2 linked regions of the Arabidopsis thaliana genome follow. The protein of the gene in region 1 interacts with the protein of each later gene in a pairwise test. Each region holds a gene or a part of one and is shown in the gene's direction. Other genes may lie near its edges.

The links.
Region 2: the proteins of ZR3 (region 1) and AT3G63460 interact in a two-hybrid assay, tested with the Arabidopsis thaliana proteins (one large-scale study listed by BioGRID).

The regions. Positions count from the first base shown.
Region 1 is NC_003074.8:20,306,516-20,314,121, forward strand, and holds ZR3 (Zim17-type zinc finger protein), read left to right. Parts: upstream 1-3,753; 5' UTR 3,754-3,838; coding exon 3,839-4,007; intron 4,008-4,634; coding exon 4,635-5,137; 3' UTR 5,138-5,339; downstream 5,340-7,606. Other genes in the region: AT3G54830 (Transmembrane amino acid transporter family protein), read right to left, coding at 5,386-5,468, 5,557-5,632, 5,724-5,767, 5,840-5,962, 6,054-6,117, 6,239-6,374, 6,467-6,686, 6,766-6,946 and 2 more.
Region 2 is NC_003074.8:23,429,552-23,440,895, reverse strand, and holds AT3G63460 (transducin family protein / WD-40 repeat family protein), read left to right. Parts: upstream 1-3,528; 5' UTR 3,529-3,654; coding exon 3,655-3,971; intron 3,972-4,120; coding exon 4,121-4,175; intron 4,176-4,269; coding exon 4,270-4,392; intron 4,393-4,503; coding exon 4,504-4,600; intron 4,601-4,715; coding exon 4,716-4,752; intron 4,753-4,839; coding exon 4,840-4,945; intron 4,946-5,021; coding exon 5,022-5,079; intron 5,080-5,293; coding exon 5,294-5,391; intron 5,392-5,487; coding exon 5,488-5,607; intron 5,608-5,909; coding exon 5,910-5,952; intron 5,953-6,070; coding exon 6,071-6,192; intron 6,193-6,275; coding exon 6,276-6,403; intron 6,404-6,499; coding exon 6,500-7,061; intron 7,062-7,164; coding exon 7,165-7,257; intron 7,258-7,545; coding exon 7,546-7,731; intron 7,732-7,812; coding exon 7,813-8,026; intron 8,027-8,103; coding exon 8,104-8,162; intron 8,163-8,255; coding exon 8,256-8,411; intron 8,412-8,888; coding exon 8,889-9,020; intron 9,021-9,101; and 7 more. Other genes in the region: scpl40 (serine carboxypeptidase-like 40), read right to left, coding at 34-1,037, 1,136-1,243, 1,939-2,335. UniProt on the Arabidopsis thaliana protein: Required for protein transport from the endoplasmic reticulum to the Golgi apparatus.

The DNA.
Region 1 (7,606 bases):
TCACGACCTGAGTGGCCCCCCACACCTGAACAATGTAACCATCCCAAAATAGAATCTTTCAAAGCTACAACATTTGGTACAACCAGCTTGTTCTTACGGTGCAACAACCCTTGTGACCAACTCATCTTCTTTATCGAATCTGCACTTCTCTGAAGAGCTTCAATCTGTTTCTGAACCACAGCATCAGAAGCATACCCATCTTTGAGCCTCTGAAGCAGATCACACTCCAATACTGACAATGCCATATGCAAAATCTCAGAACCTTCAACCCGTGACAACGCGTCGGCCACCAAATTCTCCTTACCCTCCTTGTATTGGATCTCATAGTCAAATTCCAAAAGTTTTGGAAGCCACTGCTGCTGAATGGGTGTATTAAGACGCTGCTCCAGTAAATACTTCAAACTTCTTTGATCTGTTATGATCACAAAATGGTCATGTAACAAATAGTGCCTCCATTTCTGAATGGCAAAGACCACTGCCAAAAGCTCCTTCTCATAGATCGATAGGTGAAGTTGTTTGCCTTGTAAATGCCTGCTAATATAAGCCAGTGGATGGCCATTCTGCATCAAAAAGGCACTGATACCCTGACCACAAACATCTGTTTCAACTACAAAGGGTTGATCAAAACGGGGCAAAGCTAATACTGGGGTTGTACACAATGCATGTTTCAGATTCTAAAACGCCACAGTAGCATCGGGAGACCACAAAAATGCATCCTTCTTCGTTAGCAAGGTTAATGGTCTGGCAATAGCTCCAAAATTCTTAACAAAACGGCGGTAATAATTAGCCAAGCCCAGAAAACCCCGTAATTGCTTCAAATTAGTAGGTGCAGGCCATTCCTTCACAGCTAAAACTTTTGATGGATCGGTAGACAGTCCGTCTCTGTCAATAAAATGACCCAAGTACTCGACTCTTGATGTTGCAAACGCACAGTTACTCCGTTTGGCAAATAATTTATGCTCCCTCATTACTTCCAATACCAGTTTTAAGTGCTGCAAATGCTCCTTCTTTGATTTGCTATAGATAAGGATATCATCAAAAAACACCAAGACAAACTTCCTTAGAAACTTTTGAAACACTGAATTCATCAACCCTTGAAAAGTAGCTAGTGCATTGGTCAATCCAAAGGGCATCACCAAATACTCGAAATGACCACTATGAGTCTTGAAAGCAGTCTTGGGAATATCCTTCTCCACCATTCTCACTTGATGATAACCCGCTCTTAGATCAAACTTCGAGAAGATCACTGCCCCACCCAACTCATCCATAAGATCTTCAATAAGAGGAATAGGGAAACAATTCTTCACTGTAATTCCATTCACCTTTCGGTAGTCCACACACAATCTCCAAGAGCCGTCTTTCTTCTTCACTAAAACCACAGGGGAGGCAAATGAACTTGAACTAGGCTGGATGATACCGCTCTCTAACATATCTTTGACAATCTTATCAATCTCATCTTTTTGATGATTAGCATAACGATATGGTCGCATGTTCACCGGATTAGTGCCCTCAATCAAAGGAATTGGATGATCATGATGTGTCCGAGAAGGAGGCAGCCCTTTAGGTTCAGCAAACACATCCTTATACTCATCAAGTAATTGAGAAATAGCAGAAGTAGTACTTGGTGGTGACACCTCTGTTGTTAAAGAAGACAACTGCAACACCTCTCCCTCATCCTCATCAGCGTCTGCAACACACAACATAGACAGCTGAACTTCGGAGTCTCTCAGTTTGTTCAATTTGTCAGCCTTGATAGCACGCACCGACGAAGGCTGAATACCATGTATCATCACCCGTTTCTTATCCCATTTAAACTGCATTGTCAACAATGTGAAATCCCATGTAATAGGACCTAGAGGTTTCAACCAATGTACACCCAAAACTGCATCAATTCCTTTCAAAGGAATTACCATAAAGTCAGCTACAAAAGTCGTGTTATGAATCTCCCACTTAAAATTCTGTATTCTCGCTATCACCTTCAGATTGTAACCATCAGCCACCCGTACTCTTGCATTATCACTAGGTAGGAGTGAGCAACCCAACTTCTTTGCCATTTGAGGATCCATAAAATTGTGAGTGGAACCCGAATCAACCAACATAAAAATGGATCTCTTCTGACTTGTACCCTTAACTCGCATAGTGTTGTAAGTTGAGATACCCTCCATAGCATGAGTTGAGATATGAGCTACTTCCCCAACTAACTCCTTATGCTCTTCTTCTGCATCCAAGAACACTTCCTCAGCATCTTCCATTTCCAAAACAAACAATTGTGTTTTCTTGTGAATCTTATAATGTTCAGATGTGTATTGTTCATCACAAAAATAACACAATCCTTTAGCTCTCCTAGCACTCATCTCTTCAGTAGATAAGAACCGCCTTGGCTGATTTTGTTGTGTGTCTCTTGGTTTTTCCTGAAACGCTGGTTTATTGCCCTGCTGCTCCATGTCTTTCTTAAAGGAGAACTGGCCCTTTGAAGTAGCCTTATTGTTCTTCCAAGAAGTCGCATTGTTCTGCACAGGATGAGCAGTTTCATAGAGACGTCCCAACATCAAACACTGCCGCACCGTTTGGGGTTGAAACATTCGGATATGCATCTGTGTCTCAATCCTTAACCCAACCAAATACGCACTCACTAAATAATCCTCCGTCATCCTTACTCGAGTCCGGATCGCCTCAAACTTTGCGTGATAGTCATCAATGCTAGCAGCTGTTTCCTGCAACTTCTTCAGCTCAGCAATAGGATCCTCTCCAACCATCTCAAACCTCTCCCTGATCCTAGCTTTGTACACACCCCACTCAGGAACCTGCACTTCATCCTCAATCATATTCTGGTGCCAAGTAGCAGCCAGACCATCCAAATGAATAGAAACTACAGACACTCGCATCTCTTCAGGTATAGGATCCACCGCAAAAAATTGATCAACCTTAAACAACCATTCCTTAACCTTCTCACCACTGAATCTGGGAAAATCCAACTTCCCTAACCTTGTTACTCCCGAATGATTGTTAGCGTGACCTTGCCTTCTCATGTAATCCACGTCTGTTGCTGAAGCGGATGAAGCACGAGCTGTTTGATGAGTCTCACCCAGATTTGACTGCTTAGATGGAGACAGCATGTGGATCGCCTCAAACATCTCCGAGATATGGCGCTCGATCTTCAGATTTTGAGCATCGATCTTGCTCTCGATCTTCTCCATCTGTGACTCCATCGATTCCTCTGCTTCTAACGCCTTCTCTCGACGAGCTTGAGCTAACTCCTGAGCTCGAGTCTCGATCACCATCTCCGAGAAACGTCTTTGCTCTGATACCTTTAATACAGTAAAACCACACCACAACACAATCAATCAACCAAAGCAATCATCAACAACTCCGATTACTTATTATTACGATGTAAATAACAAATGAAATCCAATGTTCATAAAACAAGGGATTTCTGGATTCACCTCGCAAGAATCGACGTTCTATGCAGAGGATGAATCTCGGAATGTTTTCAGAGAGAAAGGAATAACAACAACTTCAACGATAACATGAAAATACGATGACACTTGATATTTATTAGCTTCAGCTCTACGCACACTTAATTTGAATCACAGCCGTCCATTGATCTTCTAATCACAGCCGTCCACGTGGCCTTACTCAATATCCTGTATCACACACATTATTCTCCTGCTTGTTCTGATTTTTTTTTTCTTTTTTCTTTTCTAGATAAGATTTCAATTCACAAATTTCTTTTTCCTCACGTAAAAAAAAGAAGAAAAAGGTCGGTCTACTTGTGGCTCACTCAGTGGTTCGAACCTGGGTTTAGATTTTGACTTGACCATAACGAAAACTAACTCTAATGATTAAAAAGGCTTCTTTTATTGTGCTCCGATTCCAAAATTTCACGGAAAATAGAAGCGTCGAGTTCCTCCTCTCCCTCAGGTTGTCAATGGCCGCTAGGTTACTTGCTTTGAGACGCGCTTTGTCTCTTTTCAGCAACCAACAACATCGTTTTCCTTTGTCTCAAGGTTTCATCTCTCTCCTTCTCAACTTTGTCATCTTTAAGAAAAATTAAAGAGTTATTGAAAATCGGGCACTAGAGTTAAACTGGTCTCTTAATCTGTGTAATTTATACTTGCCTTGATGTTTCTTTTGATGAATTTGGTTGAGATTCATGTAAATTTGTGGTTTTTATGTTTGAATTTACACTAGAAGAGGATTTTGGGGAGATTTTGGTTTTAGGGTTGTTTTTGTAGCTTTTAGAGATTTGGGGCATTAGTGATGATGAGTACTCGTATTCTCATGTGTATATCATCTAATATCGTCTTTGCTCTGTTACATTTTGGAGTTAGAGAAGTGCTTCTACGAAACCTGAAGTTATGAATGCTCACATAAGTGCTTTGTCTTCAACATATCTCTATGCATTAAGCAGTAGCTGTGAACATTGGCATTTCAGCTAGACGCTGGTTAAGTTTTCAAGTTTGGTTATATATTTCCTGACTAAGATGTGTTAGCATTAGTCTACGGTTTGATGCAAACATTATCCTAGGAGGTTCCTATGATGTCCTGTTATGGTACAGACTGTTTTAGCTTCGTGCAACTACAACTACTGTTAAATTGATCTTTCTTGATTATCTTTTTTTTTTTGAAAATAGTCTCAACAGAGCAGTTGTCGCTATCAAACTCACTCTTCAGCAGAAGTCATGTTTATGGAAGATTATTTCAGAGACAGTTATCTGTAATCCGTGAGGCAAATGAAGCTTCTGTAACCAATGTCTGCAACTCGTCAAACTCTGCTACTGAATCGGCCAAAGTTCCCTCCCCTGCGACGCCCTCTGAGGAAATGATGGTGAAGTACAAGTCCCAGTTAAAAATAAACCCGAGGCATGACTTCATGATGGTCTTCACTTGCAAGGTCTGTGATACAAGATCTATGAAGATGGCGAGCCGAGAATCATATGAAAACGGCGTTGTGGTGGTACGATGTGGAGGGTGTGATAATCTACATTTGATTGCAGACCGTCGTGGTTGGTTTGGAGAACCAGGAAGCGTGGAGGACTTCCTTGCTTCTCAAGGGGAAGAATTCAAGAAAGGATCCATGGATTCTCTTAACCTAACTCCTGAAGATTTAGCTGGAGGAAAGATTTCTACTGAATAAGGAGTGATCTTCTTTGCTTTTGCTACTTAACCATTATGGAACAGAACTTCACCTTATGTTCCAGTATTATAATTGTTTCTTGTAGTTCACTGTTTGGTAACATTTAAATGCAGAAGATGTTTAATACAATTATGTGTTTGGAATGTTCCATATAGGTTGAGATGTTCCATTGATTTAAGACAGAAACAAAATCTCAAGAGAAACAAAATAAGAATCTCAAGATTGATCAGTTTTAGGTGTTCAACTTCTCAATGATCTTTGCAAGGGCTGAATATGTGCCAATGACTGAACATACTGCTCCTACTGTCATAATTAAGATACAGATTGTCACCTGCAAACAAACCACAGATTGTTATATCGATTTCAGTTTGAGGAATTTCGATATTCGGTTTGGTTATCAGTAAGTGAGCAGGCCATACCTGAGTAGGGGTTACTTTTTTCCTTAAGATGCTCAAGAAACAAGCTGGCGGTAGTATCAGCGTCTGTGTCCAGAAACTTTGTCAGGCTAAGCAAATTCACTATGAAACTGCAATATGAGAATTTGCTTTACATAACCAGAAAAGGATGAAACAAATGTGTAACTTACAATGAGCATTGTCAAGAATGATCCAATCAGTGACATGACAAGGCCTGCAAGAATTCTGAGTGTCAAAAGAAGTGACACTTATTTTCTTTACATGTATATTTTTCGTTTGTCCTTACCGAAGAAGGGAATCGCAAGACCAACGAGCAGAGTAGAGATGGCTAATGCACTTCTAATGGCGATTGCGTAGAAACGTGACTTCCCATAGTTTGATGGTATTAACTCCTCAAGACTCATTGCAACTGGAGATAATGTCAAAGCATATGTGCTTTCTTTCTATTAAGGCCACACAATTTTCAGTTTATATTATGAATAAGCTTATGACAAAATTACAGAGATAAATGAAAAGTCTCTGAATATTTCTTGATAAAGGATATTTGGTAAATGGATTAACAACCTGCAAAAAAGGCAAGGAAAAAAACTCTTAGATGACCTCACCTGGCTAGCTACCAAATTTAGTGAAAATCATCCCAACTTTCATGTAATAAGCAGAGGAAGGGTGAAAAAAAAAAACTTACTGTAGTCCACAAAGCAATCTTAGATGCAACCAAATCTTGAGGCAAGTTAAGAGTAAACTGTGATTCTGTTGATTCTCCAAACATGCTATATCCCATAACAGCAACACCCGCATACATAAGAGTACAAATTCCAAAACTGTGAAAAAAAAATAAAAATTGATACTGTCAGTAAAAGATAGAAATGTAGAGAGTTCCTAAGATGTGTAATGTCTTTATATTTAAGCTTACGATGCCAAGAGAACAGCAGAAAATTGAGATGGTTTGGCCATTGAAGTGTAAATATTAGGGAAAACACCATGTCCTGAGTAACAATAACCATAGAGTCCTACAGAAACCGGTAATGTTGCGAGGTTTAGTGGAGTTCCTTTGCTGTGAATACCAACATCATCAACCAAACCAACCCAAAACAAGCACAAAACCACCAACACTGATGCAATCACCCCTCCAGCTGCAAGATCAAGGTTAAGATATTCACATATATGAAAAAAGAATCTTTAAAAGGTCCTTTTAGATTGAATGTTTTATACCTGAAATGTAACTTAGTACGCTGAGATCTCGAAGCCAAACGGTTGGGAGAACAGCGAGGGTGGTAAGCAGAGCAAATAGACGAGGCGCATCTAAGTGAAACCCTCCAATACTTAGACTAGCATTTGGAAACATTGATGAAAGATTATCACCTTCCAATATTATGTATTCAACACTCATAGCCTGCATGCAAAATGAACTTGTGTCAAACTTTGTGTAACTTTACCATAACTTGTATCAAACTTTGTGTAACTTTACCATATCATAGGAACATTCAGAATTTCTCTCTAGACAAATATTTCAATGTGTAGTTGATGAATTTCAACATTTTCTTATACTAAAAACCAAATATTTCATTTATGAAACAAGAGAGAGGGAAACAATATGGACCGTGGGCAAAGGTGTTGTCTACTCCACATGTGGTCCATTGTTTTGACTTGAGATTCATTTTAGGTACTTATTTTGAAACTTTCAAAAATGTATTTTGTCTTTATCTATATAATATAACGAAAATTATTGGAGGAATTGCAAGTTGTTCTTACATATAACTCCATATAGAGTATTACCTGCAATCAAAAGAAAGATAATTGTAAAATATTGTCACAAGTGATATATAATAACCCTCAAATTAACAATGTATAGATGAGTAGATTTTCTTTACTTACGGAGACCAGGATGCGGCCGGTGGAACCAAAAGCGGCATGGCCAATATCAGGATAGGTCTGGACATCGGGGTGGCTGTCGAGGCAGTACCGCAGAAGCAAACCGGTGTAAAAACAAAGAATACCAAATGCAAAGAGAATGATAAGTCCCAACCATCCTCCTTCCTTCACAGCATATGGT
Region 2 (11,344 bases), 3.1 Mb from region 1:
TTAAGAGAGAAATTACAATCTCAGATAGAATATTTAGTAACGAGAGGTGTCAGGGAGAGGAGTGTCATTGAGGAAGTGAATGAAGAGTGAAAGAGAGCGCTTTGGCTGGAAGCTGGGAACTTGATGACCAGCCCCTCTCACTGTGGCAAATGTCAATTTCCCTTTGTACTCCTCTGTGTATCCACCCACCTCACCCCCTAGGTACCATGGATGCCAGGCCGTTTTGGCCGTTAGATTCATCTTCTTGAGGGAGTATTTGGTGGACGTCACTGGAATTCTCCCGTCTGTGTCTCCGCTGAACACCCAGACGCGGACGCCCTGACCCATCAGCTCCTTGATGAGAGGAATCACTGTGGTAGGACTGTCGTTCCACTTCTTTATCACACTGCTGCACGGCTGCCACTCGTAAGGCAGCTTCGTAGCGTTTGCGTGCAGGGCCGCTTGGACTTCAGGTCTGTTCAGGTAGGCCTGCACGTAATGGTCACTGCAGGGGTCAAACTCCCTTATTGTGGTTCCTCGCTTGGGCCTGCGAGTGAGCGTGGAGTTGAGGCACAAGGGAGCGTATATGTTGTAGATGTCGAGGTAATATGTATCCATGTCTATTTGGTCGGACACCACCGCGCACTCCTCAGTCATTACACTCGCAGACTCCGTCTTGAGATCGCAGTTGCTCTTGAGTCTAGCCAAAGAATCTTCGGAGATCAAAGCATGACTCTCGAAAAAGTCGTACATACCCATCAAGTCGGTCTCGTCGTTGATCACCGCATTTCCTATCAGAATGCCCTTGAGATTGAAGAAGCTCCGGTGATGGAGAAGGATAGTATGGGCAAGTTGCGGAACATAGTGGCCGGCATAGCTCTCACCGGCGATGTACAAGTCCCTGCCTTTGTACTCCGGGAACCTCTCCAGCCAGTTAACCAGGAAGATGTAGTTATCAGCTGCGGTATTCCTGTCCCCGTGCTTCTCCAGGTCCGACGTCGTGTTGGTGTACGAGAACCCCACTCCCGCCGGCGATTCTAAGAACAAGACATTCGCAGCTGCACCACCACCACCCGTTTGATAATTTTTTAATCACAAGAATCGTTTACCATTAATTTATTTTTGTTATTTAATAAAAAAGAAAAACGATAGGTACCATTGTTCCATGCATATCGGTTTCTAAAAAGCGTTTTGCCGTCGCTGTGTACTCTGAACGGCCCAAGCTCTTGTAATGCTCCATACGCCAGTGACGAGCATCCCGGTCCTGTTAATTATTTCCAACACACTTTATGCATATGTATGTATTATTAGTCACCCATATTTCTGTAATCAAATTCTCGATTTTGTGACAGCTAATTCACTGATGAGCTTACTATTAACGTCTCTGGTGAATTTGAATATATGTTGTACATTGCATTTTATTTTTATGTACATACATAATATAGAAATCAGTATATAATATATAGATAGATACGTAGTGGCTGGCTAAATAATTGACCAGTAGAGCTGTGCAACAAACAAAGCACGCCGAGAAATCCTCAGCATGTGCCATTTTTGAAAAAAGGCAAATCATTTTTCTTTTTCTTTTCTCAGTTGAGTTTTCGATTGGGGTTGTGGATCTTTTCCCTATTATTCACTACTATTGTTGCGCAAATAATAATTAGTTCCGATAATTTGATTTAAAAATTATAAAAGAAAAAGAAAATTAGCAGACCTATAAGGCATAAATATGGTATGGTCCTCACAATTATTAAATTCTGAAAATCATATAGCATATGATAGATTAATAAGCACTGAGAAAAAGACAGCCTCGATCGATCAAACTAACATTCTTGTTCATCTTTGTACTCAGATATAAGATGTACAGATATAAACCCATAATGCAGTGCCCCTAACTAAAGATGCAAACCAAAATAAAAGAAATATATATACGTATGCGTGTGGACAGTGGAAACGTACCGCCGTTGAGCCAGAGAAGCAGAGGAGAAGAATCTTTAGACTTAGAGGCTTCCACGAAATAGTAGAAAAAGGAACGCCCGGCGGATTCGTTGACGGTAACATAGCCGCCGTACTGATCGAAACTAACGGGAGGCTGTCCGGGCAATCTCCGTATCAGATCTCTCTTTCTTAGCCCCTCCTGATTAGCAGCACTCCGCAGCGAAGACGGTTTCAAATCCTTAACCGCCTTGAAATGGCTTGTGTCCATGGTGGACGAACCACCAACCCCTCGCTTAGACAGGTAAAGACGGCTCAGGGCGTGCACTTGGCTGCTGCATTCGATTCGAGACACCACCACACACAGTAACACCAACACCGATGCGATTACAGAGTAGGAGTAGCCCTGTCCTTTCCTCATTCTCTTATGTCTATGAATTATAGCGTGGGAGGGAAACAATAGAAGGTTTTGGTTTTGGTTTTGGTTTTGAAGAAGAGACAGTTAAATGAAGAAACGAGTGTGTGGGTTTGCATCTTTAAACAACTTCTTCTTTTTTGTGGGTCAAAACCTCCAACCATACGAATGATTGTTCCTTTTTTTTTTTTTTTTTTTTTTGACAACTATTGTTTTTGTTTTTCATTTTTAAAGTAGTACAATTATTTTGATAACAGATTCAGATTAAAGATTAATTTATTTATTTTATTTTTCGGGCCTCAATCAATATATATATATATATATATATGTTTCATGTAAGAAAAGGTTGTGTGTCTATGGGTGTGAAGTGAACTTACTAAATTAAATTAGTAATCTTCGAATGTATATGGCCTTCGATTATTATTAGTCGTTTGGGAGAGAAAAACGAAACACCTTGATAGCAACTTATAACTTATAAGTAGAATGATGCAATGATTATTGGTTTTTAATAATTATTTCTCTTTTTTTTCCCAAAACAAAAGTTAAAGAAGCATAAAATGCATTACCCTGATAAAAATGTACAAGTGGAATTCTAAGAATCTGAAGAAAAAAAAGAGCGAGGAGAGAAGATGTCAACGTCTCTGAGTGATCATGTTATGCCATGTGGTGTGTGAGTCGATGCTGCAATCCTGATTTTCACACTTGATATCATTCCATCTTTTGTTTCTTCGTAATACATTTAACTGCAAACAAATATTAGCTTATTTTCTACCATTGTTTAATACGAATTCTATAAATCTGGAACAGAAAAAATGTAAGACAATGATATGAGCCGAACATGGGACTTTCGTGTACTAGTAGCCCCACTGGCCAGATCCGATGTTTCAGCACATTCCTTCCCAGTTTATTATTCATAACAATCTCATTGACCACTTAAATAAATAATTTCAAATTTGATGATAAAAATTTCACGTGTTTTTGAAAACACATTATTGGGCCCAATTGTTGCGATTCAAAGTTGGGTAATGAGATTTATCCAGCATATTGTTCCAAGGCCCAAATAAGATGGGTCATAGGCCTCAGAGATTAGTTGACGTGTCATGTTTAGAATGGCTCTCAGAACCTTAGGGGAGTGTCCGAGATTACCCTTACTCTTTTGAGTTGAAAGTACAGTTTCGCCCCTGTCGAAATAAGAAAATAAAAAACATTCTAATCAAATCTATAATGGTGAAGTAACTCCTCTCCTCCTTTGTTCTCCAGATCCCAATTTACAAGAATTCAACTTCACACACCCTAAAAATTAAATCCCAATCTCCGATTCCAATATGGCTTGCATCAAGGGGGTGGGCCGATCCGCCTCCGTTGCCCTGGCTCCCGATGCTCCTTACATGGCCGCCGGAACCATGGCCGGAGCCGTCGATCTCTCCTTTAGCTCTTCCGCCAATCTCGAGATCTTTAAGCTCGACTTTCAGTCTGACGATCGCGACTTGCCTCTCGTCGGGGAAATCCCCAGCTCCGAGCGGTTCAATAGACTCGCCTGGGGAAGAAACGGATCTGGATCCGAGGAATTCGCCCTTGGTCTTATTGCCGGCGGCCTTGTCGACGGAAATATAGATCTATGGAATCCTCTTTCTTTGATCGGGTGCGTTTCCTTTCCTCGCCTTGCTTTGCTGCTATTGAATCGCCATTTTCACTCTGTTTTTTTTTATAATCCGCATTAATAGAGTTATGTATGTGGTATCCAATTTTCATCTGAACGAGTCTAACTCGAACAACTGTCACAATTTTCAGTTCCCAGCCCAGCGAAAATGCACTCGTTGGCCATCTTTCAGTTCACAAAGGCCCTGTGAGTTGTGTCTCTCTGCATTATTTTGTTGCTTAACGCTGTTTTGTTTTTATCACTCCTCATTTTCATGTGTGCGTGCTTCTTTTTTTCTTAGGTTCGTGGTCTTGAGTTTAATGCTATCAGCTCAAATCTACTTGCTTCTGGGGCTGATGATGGTGAAATTTGCATTTGGGACTTATTAAAGCCTTCAGAGCCTTCTCATTTTCCACTGCTCAAGGTATACCACCACTTCTTACTAGTCAACAACCTTGGTTTTTGTATTACCTTTTACTCTCATTATTGCTTTGGTATAAACCCATGAGTAACTTTATGCGAGGGTCTTTTGCAGGGTAGTGGTTCTGCTACGCAAGGTGAAATCTCCTTTATATCGTGGAATAGAAAAGTTCAACAGATATTAGCTTCTACCTCATACAATGGGACTACTGGTGAGACTTAGGGGTTTCTCTCTCTTTCTCTATCTACTTGACTACTACTTCACTTCTGTCTACTATATTTCTGCTTCTGCTCATCAGTCTTTATTTTCATTTTCTTTTCCCCCAGTAATTTGGGACTTGAGGAAGCAGAAGCCTATAATTAAGTAAGTATTCAATTTATTAAGTGATATTATTGAGGCTCTCGAAAAACTTGTTGTCAAATCCTTGATCTCGCCATTATCATTCAACAGCTTTGCAGATTCAGTTCGACGCCGGTGCTCTGTTTTACAGTGGAACCCTAACGTTACTACTCAGATAATGGTTGCATCAGATGACGACAGTTCACCTACTTTGAAGGTAAGGAATCATTTAACGCGTTGCTTCATATAGTTCAATTTTGGTTCTTTTAGTGATGTAAGGTATCTGCAATCAGCTCTGGGACATGAGGAATATAATGTCACCTGTGCGCGAGTTTACTGGACACCAAAGAGGTATTTTCAAATCATTGATATCAAAATGCTTTTCTCAGTGCTTCTCTCTAGCTTGGTATCATTTTCTATGGTTGGTAAGTGGACAGCCTTGTAGATCAGACGTCTTAGTCTTTAACCCACTCATATTTTGGTGCCTTTATATTATAGTCCTGTTGTCTTCATTCTTGGTGTTACACCTTGGTGAAGTGTAGTGGTGATACTTCTTATCTGTCAGGGGTAATTGCAATGGAGTGGTGCCCAAGTGACAGCTCATATCTTCTCACCTGTGCTAAGGACAACCGAACGATTTGCTGGGATACAAATACAGCAGAGGTAGTGTGAAGGAATCAATAAAAGATACAGATTTGCTGGGTCCGTGAATTAGTTAACTATTTTCCATTTTGACTGAGTTTGATCCAACCATAACAGATTGTGGCTGAGTTACCTGCTGGCAACAATTGGAATTTTGATGTTCATTGGTACCCAAAGATACCTGGAGTTATATCAGCATCTTCATTTGATGGGAAAATTGGCATCTACAATATCGAGGTACCTTAGTAGTTTGCCCTTCAGTAATTGTAAATTATTTTGTTCTATATGAATGAATGTAAATAATGTATGAGGCATAACAAATAATGAACTTTTGAATCCAGCCCTATCGACTGTTCTCCTTCATCATTTTAGGTTTCAGGTCCCCAGTTAACATACCACTGGAAATCAAATGTTTTAGAGTTTAATCTTATACACTTTGTAGTTGAGATTTACCTTATTAGCAAGACCTGTTGAACTGTAGATCTCCCTTCTCCCCTCCTAGAATGGATTAAAAAAACGTATTCAACGCTTTGGTGCAGGGTTGCAGTCGCTATGGTGTTGAAGAGAATAATTTTGGTACTGGTAATTCCATTTACCCAATCTGAACCGTTTGTTTACCGTTGATTACTTCTATCATTTTTATGCTGGAAGATGAAAAGCTTCAGGACCAACATTACTTCTTATATTCCTCTCTATGCAGCTCCTTTAAAAGCACCAAAATGGTATAAGCGCCCGGTTGGTGCATCTTTTGGATTTGGGGGAAAGCTTGTATCGTGTCACGCAAGGGCCCCTGCAAAGGGTACTTCGAGCATTCTATCCGAGGTAGGTATCTATGTACATATATTTATTTATCCGGTTATACCCCTTTTGTCGTCAATTCTAATTTGACTTAGTGTCATGTTTAGGTTTTTTTGCACAGCCTGGTAACAGAACAGAGTTTGGTGAGTCGAACTTCTGAATTTGAAGCTGCAATAGAAAATGGAGATATGACTTCTCTAAGGGGTTTGTGCGAGAAGAAATCTGAAGAGACTGAGTATGCCATCCTTGTGATTGAAAATGTTGATATTCGCCCTTATAAAAACTCATGAGATAACTCAGTTTGGACCATTTTATTCCACTGATTTCGCAGATCCGAAGAGGAGAAAGAGACATGGGGCTTGCTGAAAATCATGTTCGAAGAGGAAGGAACTTCAAGGACAAAGTTGATCAGCCATCTTGGCTTTACTTTGCCTGTTGCGGAAAAGGATCAGGCAGTAGATGGGCTCTCATCAGATCTCAATGGCATTAGATTAGAGGATACTGCGGCAGATGCACTGGATCTTGACGACAGTAACGAGGCAGCTGCATTTGCGATGGATAATGGAGAAGACTTCTTTAACAACTTTCCTGCTAAACCGGATACACCTGTATCTACATCTGCCAAAGATTTTATGCCTTCTGACACAGATTTTTCTACCAAAGGAGAAGAAACGCAAGAAATGCAAGAAGAAGAGGAAGAAAGTTCTGACCCAGTTTTTGATAATGCCATCCAGCGAGCGTTGATTGTTGGAGATTACAAGGAGGCGGTGGATCAGTGTATAACTGCAAATAAGATGGCCGATGCTTTAGTTATTGCTCATGTTGGTGGTACAGCGTTGTGGGAGAGTACTCGTGAGAAATATTTGAAGACGAGCAGTGCGCCATACATGAAGGTATATGTATATTCTTTCCCAACTTGATATGTAGGTAAGTGCCATCTACACCCCTGTTTGTGGTTGCAAAATCTGTAAACTACTGTATGTTTATCTATTTCAGGTTGTTTCTGCGATGGTGAACAATGATCTCAGGAGCCTTATCTATACAAGGTCACATAAGTTCTGGAAAGAGACTCTTGCTCTCCTCTGTACTGTAAGTTTCTCCGACTGAGGGAAAAATACTTAGAAAAGAAAGGAAATTTACTAATTGATATTGTCTATCAATGCACTCCAATAATCATAAAGGAAATGGAATCTGCTTTTTCGTGTCTTACTCAGCGAAAACATTTTCTGCTATCACTTTTAACTCTTTTCAACAATATAATGTGATGTTATCTCCGTGCACTCGTGAACCAAGATGAACAACTTGTCAGCTACGCTATTCTGCTCACTAGAAAACTTCTTTGTAATGAATGCTGATCTTATATTCATTGGCAAACAGTTTGCACAAGGAGAACAATGGACAACCCTGTGTGATGCCCTTGCCTCGAAGTTGATGGCTGCTGGTAACACTTTGGCTGCAGTTCTCTGCTACATTTGCGCAGGCAATGTTGACAGAACAGTAGAAATTTGGTCGAGGAGCCTTGCAAATGAGCGGGATGGAAGATCTTATGCTGAGCTTCTTCAAGTGTGTATCACTTTCTATGTTTCGCGCATAAATTTTGCTGGGCTTCTCCGCTCATATTTTTCTGCCCTTATCTTATAATAGGATCTTATGGAGAAGACTCTTGTCCTTGCTTTGGCAACTGGCAACAAAAAGTTCAGCGCATCTCTGTGTAAACTCTTTGAGAGTTATGCTGAGATACTGGCCAGCCAAGGGCTTCTTACAACGGCAATGAAGTACTTGAAAGTTCTGGATTCTGGTGGCTTGTCACCTGAACTTTCAATATTACGTGATCGTATTTCTCTATCTGCAGAACCTGGTGCGTATGCAGTTGTGTTTTTGATTAATATTTAAGAGAGTTTTGATGATAAATTTAGCTTAACATTTTATACGCAGAGACTAACACTACAGCTTCAGGAAACACTCAGCCTCAAAGCACCATGCCATATAATCAGGTATTTGAGTTCTGCAAATCGTTTTATATTTTACTTAGAATCCATGTAGCTTTCACGGATAACATACTTAGTCTTTACTCTTCTATGGCTTAGGAGCCAACTCAGGCGCAACCAAACGTTCTTGCTAACCCATATGATAATCAGTATCAGCAACCGTACACTGATTCTTATTATGTCCCTCAAGTTTCACATCCACCCATGCAGCAACCAACCATGTTTATGCCACACCAAGCTCAGCCAGCTCCGCAGGTTTCTAAAGTTTTGGTTTTGTTGCATTTTCTTTTCTTATTCTTCCTTGCACCATCATGCATTAATGACCATCCTTATCTAGCAGTTCTCAGATGTCTAGATCAGGAAAGTGTCCGTTTCTTTATGTTTTTGTCTAAGGGATTGGTCAAGCTTTTGAGATATGATGACATCTGAAATATGTATGTGGTGCTCAAATGCATAGTCTCTTCGTTTGTGTGATTTTTTTAGTCAGAATAGTAGATGGATTATAATAGGTATGTGGTTCTTTGACCTAAAACAAAACTCCCCAAAACTGAACATTTTCAGCCTCTAAACCCATGTCCTAGAGAAACGGATAATCTAGACCTTTACTTTTATTCACTGCTGTAGAATCTATATCCTAGAGAGGTCGTGAGAAAATTTTGTCGTGGGAAAGTGTTTTGTTTGCTATGTACAGGTTTCTTGGGCCAACTTGTTGACTATAGTGTGTTTATGCAGCCATCTTTTACTCCAGCTCCTACAAGCAATGCTCAGCCATCCATGAGAACTACATTTGTTCCTTCAACTCCCCCTGCACTGAAGAATGCAGATCAATATCAGCAGCCAACCATGAGTTCTCATTCATTCACGGTATGAGAAATTTTGCCTCCAGTGTGTTTGATGTTACCCGCAGTTTTAGTTTAATGAAGCTAACTTCTAAATTTTCATCAGGGACCATCTAACAATGCATACCCTGTTCCCCCGGGTCCTGGTCAATATGCACCTTCTGGCCCTTCACAACTTGGGCAATATCCTAACCCTAAGATGCCCCAAGTTGTTGCTCCAGCAGCTGGACCCATAGGATTTACGCCCATGGCAACTCCAGGAGTTGCTCCAAGATCTGTGCAACCAGCAAGTCCTCCAACACAGCAGGCAGCTGCACAGGCAGCCCCTGCGCCTGCAACTCCGCCACCAACTGTTCAGACTGCAGATACTTCCAACGTTCCAGGTATCGTACGACGTTTCATTAGCACCTTATCTCTGTTTTGTTTCTGAGTAAAGTCATATAATGATCACCTCTTGTAAACTGATCCAGCCCACCAGAAACCTGTGATAGCAACGTTGACAAGGCTTTTCAATGAGACATCGGAAGCACTGGGAGGCGCACGTGCGAATACTACTAAGAAGCGTGAGATAGAAGACAACTCGAGAAAATTAGGTGCTCTGTTTGTGAAACTCAACAGCGGAGACATCTCCAAGAATGCTGCGGACAAACTCGCACAGCTATGCCAAGCTCTGGACAACAATGACTTCAGCACAGCCCTTCAAATACAGGTAAGCTAGTAAATTGATCTCTTCTGGGTTCCTTGTAGATGATTTCGTGTTTAATAATCAGTTTTATTGACCTCAAAAACAAACAAACAGGTACTTCTGACTACCAGCGAATGGGACGAATGCAACTTCTGGCTGGCAACACTAAAGCGGATGATGGTCAAGGCCAGGCAAAATGTGCGGTGATTATTTATTTTCTGGGTTCATGGATTTTTTTTTTTATAAATCTTAAGGAGGGACGTGTGTATCAAACTCCTTTTGCTTTCTTAATTTTGGTCTTTTTAAAACGCCGTTGCTGCTCTAATCTTCTTTTTTTTTTTTTTTTGTCATTTATGAACCTCATCTGCTACTTCCAGTTACTCTTTTGTTTAGATAGTATAGAGATCATCAGATTGCTGAAACATTCTCATGTTTTTGGATGTTACTTTACCGGACAAGTTTGTTCGTCTTTCTTTCTACGAATTTTGTTAGATTTTTACGCTCTTTGTTTTTCTTGTCATATTTGAAACATGGATTAAGCAAAAAGTAGCATTTATAAAATATTGTTGAGCAACAACTAAATATTCCGCCAGAATCTCTTACTAATAAAAGGGAGACACGGGTAGCGGGAGTATCCTAGAACGCGTTGAGCAAACTTTTAAAAGAAACGTGCCAGTCACCATCATGGCCTTTTTGAGGTCGATCTCGGCCATGGTGCAGATTCCATGTAGGAGGAAGAAAGACATCATCCCCCACGACTACGAGGGCCTCATCCTTCGAATGTACATTAGGACAATAAGGAAAGGAGTATTGAAGAAACTGGATGTAAAAGATGATGGTACGAAAGCGACATGACAAATCAATGTGGTTGCAGCAGGCCTTGTCGATGAAAATATAAAACCTTTGGGTTGTATAAAACAGGCCCATATAGCGAGAGAATGTAGGCCCATATAATAGAGAATGTATGTTTATGGACCCAAAAACGTTACCACCAAATTACTTGACGTAGAGAGATCCGTTGCTTAAAAAAGTATGACTTATGTGCGAGAGTCTGAGAGAGACAGAGACATAAAGGCATTGATTGGAACGTCGTTGACTGAGAACACACATTGTGTTGTGATGACTGATGACTTGAAATTCGAAAAAGTTAGTTAAGTGGGGAGAGAGAGAAAGAGAGCTCAACCTCAATTGTGGGTTTTGAAACCCAATGTAACTAACCTACTAATAAGAGTTGCTGCAGTGCAATCCAATGCATGTGTGAGATCACTGGCGCGTGAGAATCACACTGACCCAATCGCTACGTGTGGATTTTGTGTGTAAATGGAGATGTCAGAGAGGGTTGAAAGGAAGAGAACGTGCAAATGCAATAATACGATTTCTTCTGACTACTACTTTTGATTTACAAAAGAAAAAGGAGTATTTACATATATTGAGGGTGCGGGCCGTATAACTAACTCTTATCGACGTCATTATTTTTAACATTCATCATTTGCAGCTTTATGTTTTTATCAATTTAACCAAGTGTTTTGAAAATAATAAAAATTGATCCTTGAGTGTATATATATGATAATAAAAGAAAACTTTACTGCGATAAGACTTGACTATTGGACCCATATACATGTATCTTTATAACTTTTGAGTAATTCTTTTATTTTTTAAAAAGG